2 linked regions of the Bombyx mori genome follow. The main gene of each other region encodes a partner of the protein of the gene in region 2 in a complex. Links are inferred from orthologs where the notes say so. Each region holds a gene or a part of one and is shown on either strand. Other genes may lie near its edges. The genes, in order: H/ACA ribonucleoprotein complex subunit 4 and telomerase Cajal body protein 1 homolog.

Region 1 (9,286 bases), on a different chromosome or scaffold from region 2:
AAACCTTGGCCATCATCATTCAGTGCTGCTTCTGATCAATAGTTTGTTTGGGTACATACAATTCGGTGATGCTTCTGTCCAATAGCTTATTTGGGGACATGCGATTCAGTGATGCTTCTGTCCAATAGCTTGTTTGGGGACATGTGATTCAGTGATGCCTCTGTCCAATAGCCTGTTTTGGGGACATGCAATTCAGTGATGCTTCTGTCCAATTGTTTGTTTGGGGACATGTGATTCAGTGATACTTCTGTCCAATAACTTGCTTGGAGATATGCGATTCAGTGATGCTTCTGTCCTATAGCTTGTTTGGGGACATGTGATTCAGTGATGCTTCTGTTCAATAGTTTGTTTGGGGACATGTGATTCAGTGATGCTTCTGTTCAATAGTTTGTTTGGGGACAAGTGATTCAGTGAGGCCTCTGTTCAATAGCTTGTTTGGGGATATCTGATTCAGTGATGCCTCTGTTCAATAGTTTGTTTGGGGACAAGTGATTCAGTGATGCCTCTGTTCAATAGTTTGTTTGGGGACATGTGATTCAGTGATGCCTCTGTTCAATAGTTTGTTTGGGGACATGTGATTCAGTGATGCTTCTGTTCAATAGTTTGTTTGGGGACAAGTGATTCAGTGAGGCCTCTGTTCAATAGCTTGTTTGGGGATATCTGATTCAGTGATGCCTCTGTTCAATAGTTTGTTTGGGGACATATGGTTCAGTGATGCTTCTGTTCAATAGTTTGTTTGGGGACATGTGATTCAGTGATGCTTCTGTTCAATAGTTTGTTTGGGGACAAGTGATTCAGTGATGCTTCTGTTCAATCGTTTGTTTGGGGACAAGTGATTCAGTGATGCCTCTGTTCAATAGTTTGTTTGGGGACATGTGATTCAGTGATGCTTCTGTCCGGTTGTTTATTTGGGGACATGTGATTCAGTGATACTTCTGTCCAATAACTTGCTTGGGGACATGCGATTCAGTGATGCTTCTGTTCCATAGTTTGTTTGGGGACATGTGATTCAGTGAGGCCTCTGTTCAATAGCTTGTTTGGGGACATCTGATTCAGTGATGCTTCTGTTCAATAGTTTGTTTGGGGACATGTGATTCAGTGAGGCCTCTGTTCAATAGCTTGTTTGGGGAAATTTGATTCAGTGATGCCTCTGTTCAATAGTTTATTTAAGCGGTCCATTATGAGGTTTCTCATGGCGGGGAATCTCTATAGAGCAGTGCAACGACTAATGATAATCATCATTTAAAAGAAAATTTCACCGTTTCTGACCTTGTTTCTCTAAGAGGTAAGCTGATATTTCTATTATCTACTAATTGATAACATTATACAAAGTTTTTTTTTTTATTAAAAATTATAATAATTCATTTATTTATCCGATAATTTTAAGCCATACACAATAATACATATATAGATTCCCCTTTTGATATTCGTTGGCCCAGTACAAAATTTGATAGGAAAATCTAAACAAAAAAATATTTTATTGACAACCCTACGACTTCAAAATCAGTGATGGGCGTAACTAGTTACTTTTTTAATCTAATTAGTAATTAAACTACAAAATAATTTAATTACAATGTAATCTGATTATATAGTAATCAATTACATTGTAATTAGAATTACTTTGGATGTGAAAGTAATTGAATACAATGTATTTAATTGCAATATAACTAAATTACAATCTAACCTAATTACATAGTAATCAATTACATCGTAAATCGTAATTACTTTGAATATAACACTTGTAATAAAAACACATATTTATATATATCATACATCGATTTTTTAGATAGGTAGGTTTTATGTACTTCAATAAAAATAAATAGGTAAGGCTCACTTCATAGTGAACTAGAAAGGAAGGTGTGCGGAGTGGGGGACGACTGCTTTTTCTTTTCGACTTTTTTTTGTTTTCGTACGCTACTATCATTAATTTTCCGAAAGCCAACCAACCACCTGTCAGACGAAATGTTTGAAAAAAGAGTCCTATTAAAAGTAATTTAAATTATAAATCAGCAAAATAATGTTGTTTAATTTAATCTGCCAATGATTAATTTAAAAAAAATAACGTAAAATGATAAAAGATTATAAAAAAAAGTATATAAATGTGTTTCATTTTTGCGTTTGTCATAAAAGTTATTAGTAGGACATTTTTTGTAAGGTTACCTAACAAAACATAACAGAATAGTTATGTGATCAATTATCAGTAATTATAAGTAATTTGTTTCAAATACATAAGTAATCTGTTACAGTTAATGTAATTAGGTTAACTTATAATTGAATTACTTTATAACTGATTACAATAAGTACTCGCTGTAATCAGTTACTTAAGTAACCTGTTACAAAGTATCTCAATTACCAATTACAATGTAACTGTAATTTGTAATTATTAATCTGATTACTTTTTGCCCATCACTGTTCAAAATTAATGCCGGCCACTGACATGCGCGCAAATATTCGTACATTGTACGAATGCTTGCGCGCATGTGAAGGGCCGTGAAACATTCATTCGCAAACCTAGCGGCTGTGCAAATGGGTTCGCATACTCAATTTGCGAACCCGTTTGCGCTTCCTCCTACACTTGTTTATGAATGTCTCACGAATTTCTCCTTCTTTTTAATTCGTCAATAGAACATTGAAGAGAAAAAGAGTTTTTAACTATTTACCAGATATCATTAACAGCCATGCTGTTTTTATGGGATTTCTTTTGATGAAGATACGCTACACAGTAGACGTCACGAACTATGAAAATGGCGTATAGTATACGTCCGTCACCTTCGCAATCGTCGGCGCAACTGGGCAAGCGAATGTGTGGGAGGCTACGCGAAGGTTCGAGGTTCGCGCGCTTTGATGTCTGTTAAAAAAACGACACAGCTTGGAAAACCACGAATGCAGCGAAAACTTTGCATAATCATTCGCAAATGTCGTCCTACACTTGTGGGTTTGCGTATTCGTGCGCATGTGAGGGACTGGTGTAATATCCAGATTAGTTGTAAATAGTTAATTTACGGGACACCCTGTATATACCGTCTGTACAGACTGGCGTAGTCATAAACTATCTTTAAAAAATACTTGTCAAATCAAATCCCAGAATAAAACAAATTTTTCCTTAAAAATAGTTTATTTCAATGTCACAAAAATCTTCTTCCATTACGTACTTACAAATATAAACTCAAGATGATATTTTACTTACCATCTGACAAAACTAAATACCTTATTGACTCCAAGAGGTCTCAAACCCTCAAATAATTGGATTTATATTGGATTTAAAATTTATATTTAGACTTTTAGAACTTCACTTGAACTTAAGCTTAAATGCTTTTTTTAATACAACTTCACGGTTTAACCTCTTGTTTTTTATTGTCATTTTAAATTAGGTATTTCCGGGGTTTTTTTCTTCAGTTTTTGTGGTCACAGGCGTTTGAATGAGCCGTAAAGTAATTTTATTTATCTTATCTTTCTTTTCTTTACTACTTCCAAGGTCACGAACGACTGAGTGAGACGCAAAGTCGTAAATACGTTTTATCTTCCACCAGTGTTATGCTGTCTATATAATAATATGTCTCATCTATGGTTAGATTAGTTAGTGTTACATATTCTACGAGGGGTAAGCATTTTCAATCAAAGACTTAAATACGTCAATGACATTTAAAATTCTAATCTAAATTTCACCAGCTCAAAATGATTAAAAAAAAAACTAATTCTAAAACAAAGGAACAATATAATTATATAAAATATAGTGCATTTTATTTTAGTTTTAAGCTTACGACACCTAATTAAAAAATTGTCGGCATGCGAAGCGATCAGAATTTTGCAAAATAGATTTTACACGCAAACCCGCGTATAACCTATAATCTAATTTTATTTTTATAAATCTTAACTAAATACAGTCGCATAGATTTATGTATATAATATATACTTATAAAAACTATTATATCTACCATTGTGCCTTTATTGTTGGGAAAGGCTTATTATTATTGAAAAATAATAAAATATATTTACACCCGTATCATAAATGCAATGTTAAGTTATTTTTTTATTGGGACAAAAACACCACAGACTATCCTATCGCCAAACATGGCCTAGCCATTACGATCTATTGCTTGGCAAATAGACTGAATTTATGGCAACATAAAGGATAGATTATCAAGAAAATGTATTAAATTATCAAAATAATTCAAAAATTGGTTATTAGACATGGACAAGAACTGCATTGAAAGATGCCAGTTTTCCTATTAATTTAAATTGTTTTATCGTTCAATAATTTTCTATATGTATTTTGAGGTTTTTGTTTCTGAATCTAAGTTTAAGCACTAAAAAATACAAAAGAGTTGTTAGGGACTTTTATTTTGAAAAAAAAAAACATCATTCCTCATTATTCATTCGTACCACTTATGAACTAATCTTATAAACTATCTTAACAATGTACAATGTTTTAATAAACGACGACAAATTACAAAATTTTAACTTTAGCAATTTGAGCATTGAGTTCTGCAATTTTATGGATTGGAGTTTTAGAACGGAAATGACTAACCTTTTTTTTTGAGGCAAATGATTTCAGCTCGGTTAAAAGAGAGTCTGGAGCAGTTGGGAGTTATTATTATACATGCATACTCTATTTATGTAATGCATATTCATATAAAAAAAATCACAAAAGATTTTGTCGAGTTGTGTGTGGCTAGAACACGCATAGGATTATCAAATTGGATCTGTAACACAACAATAGTGTCAAAGATTACTAACTACTCAATTAAATGTGGATTAGAATATATGAGTCGACTATTATCAAAGCCGGCAATCTGACTTTTGGACAATGATTGGTAAATCAGAAAAACGAATTATTGACTTTGTATTCCATTGGCAGTCACAAAACTCTTCGGAACGACATCTTAGATAATAATAGGTTAACTATTAACCTTTATTTAATGCAGGTTTTGAACCGTATTCTTTGAAGGAGACGATTATATTCAAATCAATCTGTATTGACATATCAATAAAAAATTTTTGTCCAAATGATTGCCACCTTTGATAATAGACGACTCATATATTCTTTGACAATGTTTAAGACTCTCTTTGACACAATAGATTAGACATATAAAAGGGTGCGTGTACTTATGTACGCGCGTAAGAAGATTTACTTTATTTTTATTAAATTTATTTTTTTTTTTTTATTTAAATTTTAATCAATTTGAAAAAAATCGATTAAACAACATCCTCAAACACGCATATTTGACATCCCTTTTCTTGACATCGTATAAATTCGGTAATTCTCGGTACGGTTCGGAAAGTTCACCTGCGGCTATATTCAGACTCGCCAAGTTACGTCGGTTGTATTGTAATGAGCGATTTAGTGGACAACTTCATTCTGTTAATTTTGTGTCACGGTGCGCGCGCATCGTAAAATTTCACTCTCATCAATTTTTCATAACGCGCCTTAAAAAGTATAACTTCAAAAAACAGTATTTTTTAAGTAGTTTACGTGCTAAATCACAATGTAACATATTGCTAAAGTTAAAATATTGTAAACGCCATAGACATTTGTCCATTCCAAACGGAACTACATCAAAATTTGAATTTACTTATATTTTTTACGCTTAAAAGAGAACCATTCTCAATTAATACCATGTCCATTTCTTATGACATATTTATGGGTACATGTTACTTCGTAATTACACTTAATATTCTTAGTGTGTAAAGAAACTATTTCAGTAAAATAAAACATAAAGTTTAGTTTGATTTGAAGTTAATATTCAAAATTAAAATTACTATTATTGAAGTTTCTTGACAACACACAATGTAACCAAATTGTCAGAATCAGCTGAGAGACAAGGTCAAGGCCCTCGTGAAAAGCAGCCATATTGAAATTTAATTAAATTTGAAGGTAATCAGTATTTTTCCTAGTTGCCTAAACTTGCCTTGTTATTAAATGTTCACTTTAGATACTTTTTGAATAATCCAGTTTTGTGTTTAGTTTTCAAAATTTTTCCAATAAAGGGTACCATTTTACCAATAAATTTGATATACTTAACATAGCAGTTTTGTTTTTAAATTTCCATACATATTATTGATAAGAGATGGTGGGAATTTTTTTTCTCTAATTACAAATTAGATTAATTACATTTAATTTTGTGAAAATACCTTCTGCTACGAATATAATACTTATTTCATTAATCTTGTTTCTGTTAATTCAATATGAAATCTCCAACTTTTTACATTTATATATCCGATTATTGTATCACTGATAAATGTATGTCGAATTCAAAAAACGCAATTTCTTAATATAAGCTGTACAATGTTGTCTTTCAAATCTAAACGTAACTCAGTTTAAAATCTACAAACTGTTTGTTTTGCAACATCAAATTCATTCATCAACCTCTTGTTTATCTTTCTTCTTTTTCTTTTTCTTCTCTTTGCGCACAGAATCATCTGCTGGTTGTTCTGCTGTCTCTGGTGACTCCGATGTGTCCATAGTGGCGTCTGCTTCGGCACTGGAATTATGAAGAAATTGAATAGATTGTGTAGAAATGTGTATAAATAAAGCACAATAAGCTAGGGCTTTGTAATCGTACAAACAAGTATATTTGTTCTGCATATGACTAGAAGGGAAAGCTTGAGGACAGACAGAAATAGTTTTTAATGAATTTTCCAGCACCCACATATGCAATAAAAGAAAAAGTTCATCCAGATCTTATAGCATATTTCGTTTATCACTTGTAGCATATAGAAATGTAATTTTGGAATATTTTTGAGAGGCATTAGCTCCAATGTGTATTAGTAAGGTTTAAAATATATATCGTCTTTTCGCATTAGAAGTGTACAATTTCCAAAAATATTCGAAATTGAGTTAATTACGGAATCATTCGGTATCACCAGTATTTTTCTCATAAATACTGTCAAAAGAGCATAGTTTCGTTTTTTTTCTTTAGTTTACCTATATTTTGACTACTATTATCAAAATTAATACATAATTTTATCTTACTTTAAAAGACAGATAATGTAACATTTTTTCTGCAAAGATGATTAATATTAAAAATAGCACATGTCTAACACTCTCCTGTAAAATTAGTAAGTTTTGAGATTATACAGTTTTAATGCGAGAAGATGAATCATGTGAATGTGAACATTGTGTTGTTTTTTTGTAATCTTAATTTTATAAATTTCTTTTTTCATTGTTCTTTCTACAATCATATCTGATGTTGACAGTGGACACTGTGTGGAGTTTGTTTGTTTGCCTATTTGTAACATATTGTTTGTTTTGGACTGTTTCCCAAATAAATAAACACATAAAAATAAAGCATAGTACTGCCACAGTAATTCTCACTATCCAGACATCATTTATTATAATTTGCGTAATTACTGGTAGTAGGACCTCTTGTAAGTCTGCACAGATAGGTACCAGCACCCTGCCTATTTCTGCCGTGAAGCAGTAATGCATTTCGGTTTGAGAGGCAGGGCAGCCGTTGTATATTGAGACCTTAGAACTTATATCTCAAGGTGGATGGCGCATTTACGTTGTGGATGTCTATGGGCTCCAGTAACCACTTAACACCAGGTGGGCTGTGAGCTCGGCCAACCATATCTAAGCAATAAAAAAAAAATTCTCACTTAGTTTGTAATAACAAATCCTTGAAACCAGACACGATAATTGTCTGAATTCCACTACAAATAATCAAAATGCAAAGAACCAGTACTTACGGGGCTTCACTATCTCTCTTTTTCTTCTTCTTCTTCTTTTCCTGCTTCACCTCTATGGAGACATCGGGATCTTCTGCGTTAGCTGTGCTTGCCGTTCGCTTTCTGCTGCCTTCCTCGACACCGTCACCATTCTCCGGTTCTTTCTTAACATTATAGTTGACGTAACTGTTTAACCATTCTTTTGGTGTGTTCTCATTTGGTTTGCCATATTTGTCAAGTTTCCCTTGTTGTATGAGGATTTTTTTCTGTGAGGCTTTCGGTCCGAGACCCCATTTTCTGGGGTACGTGTCTCGTTCCATTATGACACGCTTGAGTTTCGCGGCTACACCATGATCGCATGAGGCCATCGTAGACGTGGTCATCAGAGCAACGGCCAACGCTACTGCCTCACCTTTAGTGGTGACTATTACGATTTCTTGGTCAACTTCGATGCCGTCTTCGTATCTTAAAATACCTGGTAACAGCACTTTGGCTCCGTAGCAAACAGCATTAACAGCGCTGTCTTTGATAAATATCCTTTTGTGAGCAATCAGGAGGCCTTCCAGAGGTTTGATTACTCGACGAAGATAAGTCTCGTCTTTGTGGTTTTCATACGACCATTGTGCATCTAGGATGTCGTGCATCGTGACCATGCCTTCCTTCTCGCCCTGAATGCCGGACCGTACTCGTCTGAGTTCGATCATCTGACCTCCGACGCCAAGCATCAGACCTAAATGCACACACATCGTCCGGATATACGATCCAGCCTCGCAACTAACCCAGAACACCCCAATATTCTTGTCCTGGTCGAAATCCAGGAGTTTACTGTCGTACACCGTCCTGACACGCAGTTGTCGCTTCACGGCCGATATAAGCGGGGGCCTCTGGAATAGAGCTCCACGCAGCTTCTCCAAGCCCTGTGTGACTTTTTGAATATTCTCTACGGCTGAATGCAAGTTGAAAACGGCTACATACTCTTTGCCAGCGTTCTGTTGTGATTTGACGAGTCTCGTGGCGCGGTCTATGCAAACGATAAGGCAACCCGTAACTTTCGGATCGAGCGTGCCCGAATGACCAGTCTTTTCGACTTTTAAAATACGTTTTATCCATGAAACTACTTCGTGGGAGCTGGGGTTGCTCGGTTTGTCGACGTTGATGAAGCCAGATTTGACGTAATCAGAGATGGGGCGTTTTAAAGGCGAGTTGCCGAATGGTAGCGGCGTGTAATGGTTAGTGCGCACATTTAAGCGATCGAAGTTTTTCAACAACAAAGGCCAGTAAGCGGTGTCCAGCTTCTTCACGCTCTCCGAAGGTTCGATTTTGAAGTCGCCAATTGTCTGAAAAGCTCCCAACGAAACACCATCCTTGTTTTTTTTCTTTTTCTTCTCTGAAAGTGTGTCGTTACCGGGCTGCAGTACCTCCGTCATTTTGATGAATTAACACGTATCTTTTCTTACTCTTAATTTTAGGCGATCGACGCAATCACTTGGGTAAACAATGCCCTATAATCGGGCACTGTTTATTGAAAGAACTTTGAAAATATAACACAATGCTCGGCCATATAGCACGTGCGATTCGGTTGAGGTTAGCTTCAGATTTGTTTGCGTATGATTATGGT
Region 2 (10,440 bases):
CGTCATTTTCTTTAAGCCACGACCATTTGTACAACGGTAGGAATAGGCAGGATCGCATTGTGCATAGTTGGCGACATTGACTGTGGGCTTTCAAGCCTTTTTACTGGTGGTAGGACCTCTTGTGAGTCCGCACGGGTAGGTACCATCACCCTGCCTATTTCTACCATGAAGCAGTAAAGCGTTTCGGTTTGAAGGGTGGGACAGCCGCTGTAACTATACTTGAGACCTTAGAACTTATATCTCAAGGCGGGTAGCGCAATTACCTCGTAGATGTCTATGGACTCCATTAATCACTCAACTACTACAAATTCAGGTGAGCTGTGAGTTCGTTCACCCAACTAAGCAAAAAATTAAAACCGCATACATTTGCAACATAACCAAGTTAGTGGTAAATAAAATTCGATTTAATACATTAATATGTATACTTCGTCAAACCTTTTTTTCAAACTGAAGTTATAAAAAACATGTTTCAAAGGGTAACGACAAAGGGAAGACCTTCCACCCAGTGGGTGTTATTTCTCGATAGACCGATGATCCGAATGTTCTCACAACATGTATAGAGAGTGCCTCACAAAGGGCATATCAATCGGATAATGGTAGATAGTGTTCTATATTTAATCAATTCAATATCCCTGTGATATCGCTTTCATTCAGCCCTCGAGGTTACGTAATTAGGTACTTGAAAGACTTTTATCTCACCAAGATTTATGTTCGTAAATTAATTCAAGGTATAAAAGAGTAAAAATTAATGTAAAAATACCAAAACTGCTACAGATCTAAACGTATCCGTGACCTGGCCCCCTAAGAGCTAGGGGTCCCACCCGTTTTGTGCGGGGAGAGACCCAGACGTGGGGTGGCGTGCTTTGCACGCTCACCCGCAGTAGGAAGCCGGGTGATGGTAGACCGCGTTCCCCCGACCACTCTGGGGGAAGGTGTAAAGCGGCGCCATCAAAGCGGACTCTCGGCCCGCTGAACGAGGGAACCGGTGGTCGTGTCGCTGGCGGCCGCCGGTCCGGCGTCCGTGGGACGGTGGGATGGATGTAATGTGCTCTGCGTCAACCCTGTCCCGCCGTTTCAATAGCCCCGACTGGGCTCCGGCCCGGTCCGAGGTAGGGCGCCGGTTGTGAGCGGCAGGAGTTTTTAGTGAGGTTCAACTCCCACATACCACCTGCCGCGCGGGTGGGGATCCGGCGATTTTCTCTTGTAGAAACAGGTCTAAACGGGCGGTTTCTCTGAATTCAAAAATCACGTTATGTCAGCTGATTAATATACACACACATAAACACTTCACCGGCTTTTTTTTATTCGCTGGCAACGGTAGCCTATGAGTATTCCAGCTATGACCAGAAGGGGCTTCGCCTGTGCCTCTAACCGCTCCGACTGTTTCGGCACATCAAATAACTTCTTTGTCTTTGCAATGAAAATGAAATTTAGTAATATGTAATGGCCGTAATGCGTTTGGAATTTTGGTTTGCGATTTTGAACCTTAAGCGTCTAGTCATATGATAGCATTTTTTGTCGTTTTCATTGATTAAAATCAATTGAACGAATCTGCTGTTATCTATCTATTTCTAACGCGTTTAACCAAATTAACGGATTAATGGCATTTTTGTTGTACAATTCCAGGGTTATCATCAACCAGTTGAAACAATTAAAATATTAGTTTTTGTATGAAACTAAGTACGGCTTAGACGTTTTTAACGTGATCTGCATTTTTGAAACTATAGTTCGATTTCGGCTTGACATACCCATTATACATCCTCGACACCCTGAGGTACCTAAAAGCACCGATAGTGGATCAGGAGGATCCTAAATGGCGTGTTTTGGGCGACTGCGACTTTTTACCATTCAGTCCACAGGACCAGGTAGGTATGTATTCGGAAATTGAATCATTGTTGAAAGGAAAATCTCACGTTCACAATATCAAATATTTATTCAGAGATCACATTAATACAACTACAATGACTAGAATTACACTTCGCATTAACATACATACGTAGTTTCTAAGGATATTTATATAAAAGAACTATATTATTAAATTGGTAAACTTAAAATACAGTCTATTAAAATCACTTATATATGACTTCTATGTAAATATAATATTATAGGATTCGTAGTTTAATTAGAAACCATAATCGAACTTTACCCAAAACAGGGTAAAAGATTTGCCAAAATCACGTGGATTGCTTTGAATTTACGATTTAAAATCATGTATTAAGTATATCCGCCCTACTACCGCCGTGTACTAATTATATCAACTTTGAAAAAACATTACATTTTGTGATCAAATTTTCACGCACGAAATATAAATCAACCTGAACGAACCCATACTATGACTATCGTGTGCTATTTGCAGTTGTTACTGTCTATTATTTCCACATTACACTCCCCAGAGTCCTCAGCGGAGAGCAGCGGCTTAGCTGTAACCCTGGCATTGCTGGTGAGTGACGCCGACCACTCCCTATCAAGTAATTGTCCCCTTTTCGTTCTAAGGCAATGAAAACCCCAAACTTATGGCCCTCGTGGCCTAGGCAACGCGCCAATTATGTTAACAGAATAAATGATCCGTCGCAGTCCACAAACAATAATCCACAAAGAAGTGACGTTTGTCGGTCGGCTAGATAATAAAGGGCAGGAAACAAAATTGCAAATTTCTCTCGTGTAAGCCAGATTAATGCCGACTGGGATTACCCTCGCAGCCGCTGACTTGTAAAAAGTGTCATTCGTTTTTTTGTCACTTTCGGATCCCAGTCAGTCCTACTTTTTTCTTAGATTTTTTGGTATTTCAATGCTACTGAATTTTTCGTACTTCTTCAGTCTCAGTTCTATTTCTGTCAGTCCATTATACAACTATTATACCTATGTTCGAATATAACATGAACTTATTCACAATAGACACCCGTGAAAATATTTTAAGATCGACGAAGATTACTTAATTTTGTATGTGTCATGTGTTAAGCAAATACCTACCAAATCCCGCAGTAACTGCAGTACGAATCCCATGACCCACCTTGAACTCAAAGTGTCAAATCTTCATACGTGCCAACGGTCAAACATTGTCTACGCGAGGTAGATATTTTTGGGACACTTAAATAGAAGAAAAATATAAGTTTGCGAGATCCCATACCCGTATTTTTAACCATACCCGGGAAAGGCTTAAGAGAACCTATATTGTAGAAAATTTTAAATCAAAAGACAAAAAGTCACCTTTCAATATTCTTTGAAATTCGTGAACGCATATCACATACGTGCCCTTGTTTTATTGCACATTAGGTTCTTAATTGTTAAGCACCGTCTGGAATAAATGTAAATAGACATGCTAATTAATTGTAAATAGACATAACAAAACCCAACATCAAATAGAAAAAAAAAGATATTCCAAAAAAATATATACACTAAAAACCAATAATCATCGAAATCGGTTGACGTGATATTGAGTTATGCATCTACCACCATTATCAGAACTGGACTAAATTGAAATGTGACCACACGGGAAGCGTCAGCTTTCTAATAAAAAAAGAGTGATCAAAATCGATTCACTCAGTCAAAATTTATGAGGTATCTAACAAAAAAAAACGTCGAATTGAGAACATCCTCCTTTTTTGAAATCGATTAAAAAAGATATCGTTTTACTATACGCGATAAGAATAAAAAGCTACCAGAAAAATTTAGATATAGTAGGCATATCATACCTACATAGTTAAATAAATAGTTTTTAATGAAAAGCTTTTAATTTACCATAATTAACACTTTAGTAAATGCTTGAATTTTCCTATCAAATAGTCACTTCCTCGATTCCGAATTCAAACCAATTTCAATTAAAATATAGTCAAGTAACGCAGTTGTACGACATCTTCAATTAACGTGCGAATAATTAGTAGTTCTTTCGGTATTCGTGGTCACAAAACCGGAATGGCAATAATAAGGTTTCGTTAACATTCAATATTTGTTTTTTATTTAAACACGCAAGCTTATATCAATACGTAAGCACATAGTTATAATTTAATTCTCAGAGCGTTTTTTTTTTTTTTGGTTCGTTAGGAAATCCTTAGGCTTCTAACTAGACGATAGGTTGGCAGTCTCGGAGTTGAACCAACTAAAAGCCCCTATCGCTCAACGAGCCTTGTCCAAACCTCGACTGACACAGAACTCAATCGAAACAGACCCCTCGTCTGTTTCGATTGAGGTTTCGCGCATTTTTCCTCTCTCCCTAACTTTGGTATAATCTCAACAAACAAACAAAAATCGTAGTCACCCAGGATGCCGTGATCTGAAGTTTACATGATTTTTTGTAAACCATCAACTTCTTCTTCTTCTTTTTCTCCACCTTATCCCACTAGGTGGGGTCGGCACAGCGAATTTTTCTATTCCATTCTCTTCTCTCAGCCGTCATCTTGACACTCCCTCCTCTCTGTCTCTCATATCGTCATTCACATACTCCATCCATGTCTTCTTCGGTCGACCTCTTCCCCCTCTACCTTGCATTGCTATTTCCATACATCTCCTAGTCACATGCATCATCTCTCTACTAGCTTCTATTTTTCTAGGCCATCAACGGCCTCCGGATATCGTCCTCTCCTGTATTATACATGTAAAAAATATATGTGCAAAAAATGCCTAATAAATTTTACAAAGATAGATTCCGATCGGGAATCAAACCTGAATTCTGTAGTACAGTCGCCAGGGTCACTAATCACTAAGCCTACCGGGCCATCAAATTTCATCAAGCATGTCGACGAGGATCTTGTAATCGTCGACACTTTCATGTAATATTTAATATCACGTGAAAAATACATATTTAATACTATCCTATATAATATCATTATTACATATATATAGACGAAGACCTGAAAAAGAGGTTGCAAATAGATAAGCTTTCAAACAAACAAAACGTTTAAATATTTGAGTAATATATCGTATTAGTTACGTTTCGATTGAACCCAACAATCCGAAACTGATTGAACGCGTATAAGGCAATCGTCATAAAACATTTTAATAAAGATTTACGGACGCCAAAGGTCTCGGCGTGGCAATAAAACTGAGCCGCTTTACAAGGATCTGAGGACTACAGTCAGCAAATCGATCGAGTTATCATATTCCATGGATGACGTCGACAAAACTTTACAAAGAGAACTGATATTTTATTTATGTCTAAGTACGTATTATGAAATAAAATCCTTTACAAAGAGAACTGATAATATGTTATTTATGTCTACGTATTATTAAATAAAATCATAAAGATAATTTTTATTTTTAGTCTATGCACCTTTTTTTGGACAACTTAGTCGTTTCCCCAATGAGTGAACGAATTGGCCTTAGATAATTTTGATAAGCATATACTATCTTTGAAGTGTTTTGTTACGATCAGTTGGCAAATAAAAAGAATAAACTTTTAAAGATCACATTAAGTCGCGGCTATGTGCCAGCAAAAAACAATTACTTTTAAATTCATTACACGTTTTTTGTCGTCACTCCCCTCTTTCTTCCTTAACATTAGTGATAACAGTACTTATATGTATAGAAAAGTACAATAGATTAAAATTGGCACTCAATTTTCACGAACATTCCGTTCCTAAGCCCTTTTTTTTAGAAAAATGGGATAATAATTCTAAGTCAGTCGAACATTTATCAATACAAAATTCTATTTTTGAAGGAATGTTTAAGTATTTTTGCCCGAAAACGGAATACCGTGGGCTTAAATTAAATTTATGCAATTCGCAATTGTGACTCAAAAGTCAAAATTTAAAATTCAGTCCGATCATTTCACTCTCAACACATTTTTCCATCTATCAATGGAAGCGAATCATTCCCGAAATCAATTTCGTCTCCCGATTTTCGCTAATGATTTGCATAGCACCTTTGTTGCAGCTTCGAGGGTAGTTACATTTTACACCGCGTATAACTTACCAAACATTTTTATCAAAATCTGCTCGAATATTTATCATTACAAGATCTAAAAGTTATTAAATTTTACCCTTTAATCCAAAACGTGTTTTGCGGTTGAGATAGGCCAATAGATTGCCAATTTTTCGCACATTTCTAAGCGGACTTTATGCAAGGGCTAGTCTCAATTTATAAGTATTTACATACATATATCATAACTAAACAAAATTTTGGTAGTTGTGATTTAAAAAATAAACGTTTGCGCAAATTTTCATAATCGTCTTTGCTTTCGACAATGACATGTTATCGATCTACTTGTTACTGCCGGAAACCGAATTAGCCTTGGGAAAAGTCCACTATTCGATTGTTTGATACTGTTAAGTAACGAACTAACGTGTTTATCAACATAAAATTATTGTATGTAGGTCATAAACGGAATGTTTTATTTTATTTTTATTGCTCAAATGGGTGGACGAGCTCACAGCACACCTTGTGTTAAGTGGTTACTGGATCCCATAGACATCTACAACGTAAATGCGCCACCCACCTTGAGATATAAGTTCTAAGGTCTCAGTATAGTTACGGCTGCCCCACCCTTCAAACCGAAACTGATTACCGCTTCACGGCAGAAATAGGCAGGGTGGTGGTACCTACCCGTGCGGACTCACAAGAGGTCCTATCACCAGTAAAATGTTAAATGATAATAAGTAGACCGGGAACCCCAAACTTCGTTATTTTCAACTTTATAGTTGAAAACCTTTCACTTTAACTATACTTGTAAATAGGGGGTATTTAAATAGGGTAGACAATATAAAAAATATTCTTCATATCTACATATCAGACTACTCGATAAATACTATTGAACCAAAAAAAATCACAAAGATTTTTGACACTTTCAGTTTGATTGCCAGCCAACATAAGAAAAGAGAAGGCTTGAAGGTCAGAGTCAACATAAGTCATGTAAATTTTTTTAAAGTGGAAACTCATCTATCACATTCATTTTTTCACACAACATCAACTACAAATGTATAAATTGAAATACATAAAGATTCATCTGCTTAAACACAACGACGTAGGTTTTTATTTAATTCTATAACATCCCCAGTCCACCAGAACGTCAAACAATTTTCACTGTGACTAGAGTATCGTATATCATACTGGTTAATAGAATCATCAGAACTAGAATCTACGGCTTCATTATTCGTTTTCTCACTCAAAGATTTTATCGGGTCTGTGAAATGATATTGACCAGATCCGGTAGCCAATATGGGTCTATATGGATGAATTGATATGCTATTGCAGCAATCTTTGTATAAAGGAAACTGAAAATGAAAAAGTCAAGTCAAAAATAGAGTTTAAGCCGTCAAATTAATTACCATGTAAGCAATATATTCATTAAATAGTAAAATAGAATCTCATCCAGTAGCTGTACAATTGTGATGTCATGCAGGCTTCAAAATTAAACTATTTATTCAATTACTCTTTTTCAATAAAAGCTTTTAAAATAAAGCACACAAGCTATTAATATAATTAAAAATAATACCTTATAAGTAACATCATCAGTTGTATTATTAACTGGATCTAAACTAGAATGCCAATCTATATGATCAAGTGACCAAACTTTTACCACTCCATCTGTACCACCCGATACCAAATATTTTCCACAAGGTGATATATCAAAATAAATTCGTTGGTTCGTATTTACAACTCTACTCAGAATGTTTAGTGGTTTCCTATAATACCGTATGTCCCAAACAAACAGTCTGTGATCTTTTCTTGCACCAGAAACAAGCTTCAAAGTACCAGGAATGAATTTCATGTGCGTTACTCCACCTGAAGCAATAGAAAAAATCAAAACATTTCGCAAAGCCAAATGAATATTCATGAATATGCTAAATGATTATGAATGCACTTAAAGGATTTAAGGTTTCTGATAAAAATATATACTTGTTGTGCTATATATTATTATATAACTTAGTCTGGCCATAAATACTGTTACATAAAAACTTTTCTTTTTTTTCAACTTTTTAATTATTTTGTATTTGGAACATGTATATTATTTTAAAAACTTCTTTCGATTTTGCGCCATTTCAGATATTTTTTCGTGTTCATTATCAAATGACAAAGGAATGTGGTGTTAAGGAAAATAGGATTGCAGTGATCGCCTTGCGCAAAGTGGGTATTGAGCCGTCGGTCATATTCCAGACACTTCAAATGCTAGGTATCAGCCATTATGTTGGTACATCGAACTATCAACAGATAAAACAACACTTCGTCTGTCGAAGACCAGAAAAGATCGGTGCAGCCGCGTCCTGTTACAACTACAAAGGCTTAATGCTGTTAAAGCCAGAATCCGTCGAATTAGGCAGCAAAATATCTTATAGCGAGAAATGAAGATTCCCGATAGGACTCTGTCGCGTATTATAAAACAAGACCTGAAGCTCGCAGGATATACCCTAAATCAATCTTTATAATTAAAGTGATTGGATAAATGAAAATGCCTTTTGATGCGATATGCAGGTGAAAGGCACAGAAATATTCTCTTTACTGATGAAAAAAATTTCACTATTGAAGAACACTGCAATAAACAAAATGATAAAGTGTACACTCACAGTTCTAAAGAAGCTGCTGAAATGGTAGGAAAGGTACAAAGTGGTCATCATCCTGCATCAGTGATGGTTTGGTGGGGCGTGTCTTATCAAGGAATCACAAGCTATATTTTTGTGAAAAAGAAAGTGAAAACTTCAGTCAATGTGTATCATTGTCCATGTATCCATGTCTTGGATTATGCTGTAAAACCTCTCAGCAATACACTTTTTAAAAATATACTGTGGACTGGCCCGCATGTCTCTGCACCTGGTCACAAGGCAGGAACTACCCAAGCCTGGCTTGAAACCAATGTTCCAGACTTTGTAAGAGCTGAAGTCCAGCCTCACCGAGCCCAGACCTCAACCATTAGACTTGAAATTATGGTCAGTTTTAGAGAACATGGCCTGCTCTAAGCGATACAGCGACATTGAGTCTTAAAAAACCTTTGGAGCAAGCAGTGAAATTTCCCTTGGAAACAGTGCGCAAATTCATAGTTTCATGGCCAAACAGATTAAAGGCCTGTATAAAAGCCAAAGGTGGCCATTTCAAGTAGAATATTTTTCTTTATTTTTTGCTGACTTCATTTCTTTTTACTTCATTAAAAAAAAAACATTTTCATTTGAAACAGAACTTATGGCTGGATTAGGTATATATAGGTATTGGGTATATATATAACAATATGTAACAAACGTTACACCAATTATTCAGTGCTATTTACCTCCATGTCCATACATGTCCCCAATTTTCTTAGTACCAATTTCTGATTCATTATACAAAGTTATTGTTGTATTCCAAGAACCAACAGCAACTAAGTTATTTTGTGTTGAAATGCTAGATGCTGAACTAGAAATCTTTTGCTCAGTAAATTCTCTGCCAGGCCTAAAAAATTTACTGATTAATATACAAGCAAATAAAATAGACCTAGAACTCAGGCAGGATTGCAACAATTATGTTGTTGAAGTCTATGAGCTCTAGTAATCACTTAAAACCTAGTTGTATACCAATCAAAGAAATAAAAAAATTGTCTATCTTGAGCACATTACTAACTTAATGAGTATATTAAAAGATTTTACTTCCATACAACAAATTCTCTTTATATTAGTATAGATACGATAAAAGCTTCCTGCCTTGATATAAAGTAGTTATTAGCAAGTCTAAGCTTTGCTTAAATACCCACACTGAGCATGAAATTAAAGTTTTAAGATAAATTTGATAATGAAGAATTACCGCTCAACATCAAAAATTCTTAAATGCTTCTTATAGCCAGCAATGATTTTTCTACCATCTGAGGTAAAGCTAACTGATAAAGCTGGTTCCATTTCATCTACTGCATTGAATCCTCTGTATGAACATCTGAGTGATCCATCAAATGCATCCCACATTTGTATGGGAGAATTTTGTTTTGTTGTTAACCAGCTGTCAATAAAATTATTGAGTTACATGAAAGTTAGGCATTTCTTAAGAAATCTATTTCAGCTCCTTATTTTAAAGGAAGAGAAATTATGTTTACTGACAAACTAAAATTGATATTTTATCATAATCTCAGCCTGTCCACTGCTGAACATAGGCCTCTCCTACTGATGTCCACTATGTCATCAGCCCATCTGGTACACGGCACACTGCACTTGACAGTACGTGGTCTCCATTTAAGGATTTTTCTGCCCCATCGGCTGTCAATCTTCGTACTATATGGCATTCCCACTGCCGCTTCAGCTTGCTAATCCTAGGGCTATGTAACAAGTTTGGCTCTTCTATGGATCTCCTCATTTCTGATTCGATCTCATAAAGAAATACCAAACATAGCCCTCTCTATAGGTTGCTGTGTGACACTAAGCTTCTTAAAAAGTTCCCTTGTGAAACACCATATCTCAGAACCGTACGTCATCACTGGTAAAACACATTGGTTGTACACCTTTGTCATAAGGCACTGAGCATTTTTTTAATTTTTAGATTGGTTGATATTTAAGT

Evidence for each region.
Region 1: telomerase Cajal body protein 1 homolog (region 2) and H/ACA ribonucleoprotein complex subunit 4 share a complex: the UniProt entries of both Homo sapiens proteins name them as parts of the telomerase holoenzyme complex. The link is inferred for Bombyx mori from reciprocal best matches to the Homo sapiens genes WRAP53 and DKC1.

What each region holds. Positions count from the first base shown.
Region 1 is NC_085130.1:16,024,154-16,033,439, reverse strand, and holds the end of H/ACA ribonucleoprotein complex subunit 4, read right to left. Parts: 5' UTR 9,096-9,286; coding exon 7,690-9,095; intron 6,483-7,689; coding exon 6,356-6,482; 3' UTR 3,097-6,355; downstream 1-3,096.
Region 2 is NC_085124.1:10,452,216-10,462,655, reverse strand, and holds the end of telomerase Cajal body protein 1 homolog, read right to left. Parts: intron 9,889-10,440; coding exon 9,700-9,888; intron 9,352-9,699; coding exon 9,191-9,351; intron 7,717-9,190; coding exon 7,427-7,716; intron 7,206-7,426; coding exon 6,942-7,205; 3' UTR 1,915-6,941; downstream 1-1,914. UniProt on the Homo sapiens protein: RNA chaperone that plays a key role in telomere maintenance and RNA localization to Cajal bodies. Specifically recognizes and binds the Cajal body box (CAB box) present in both small Cajal body RNAs (scaRNAs) and telomerase RNA template component (TERC).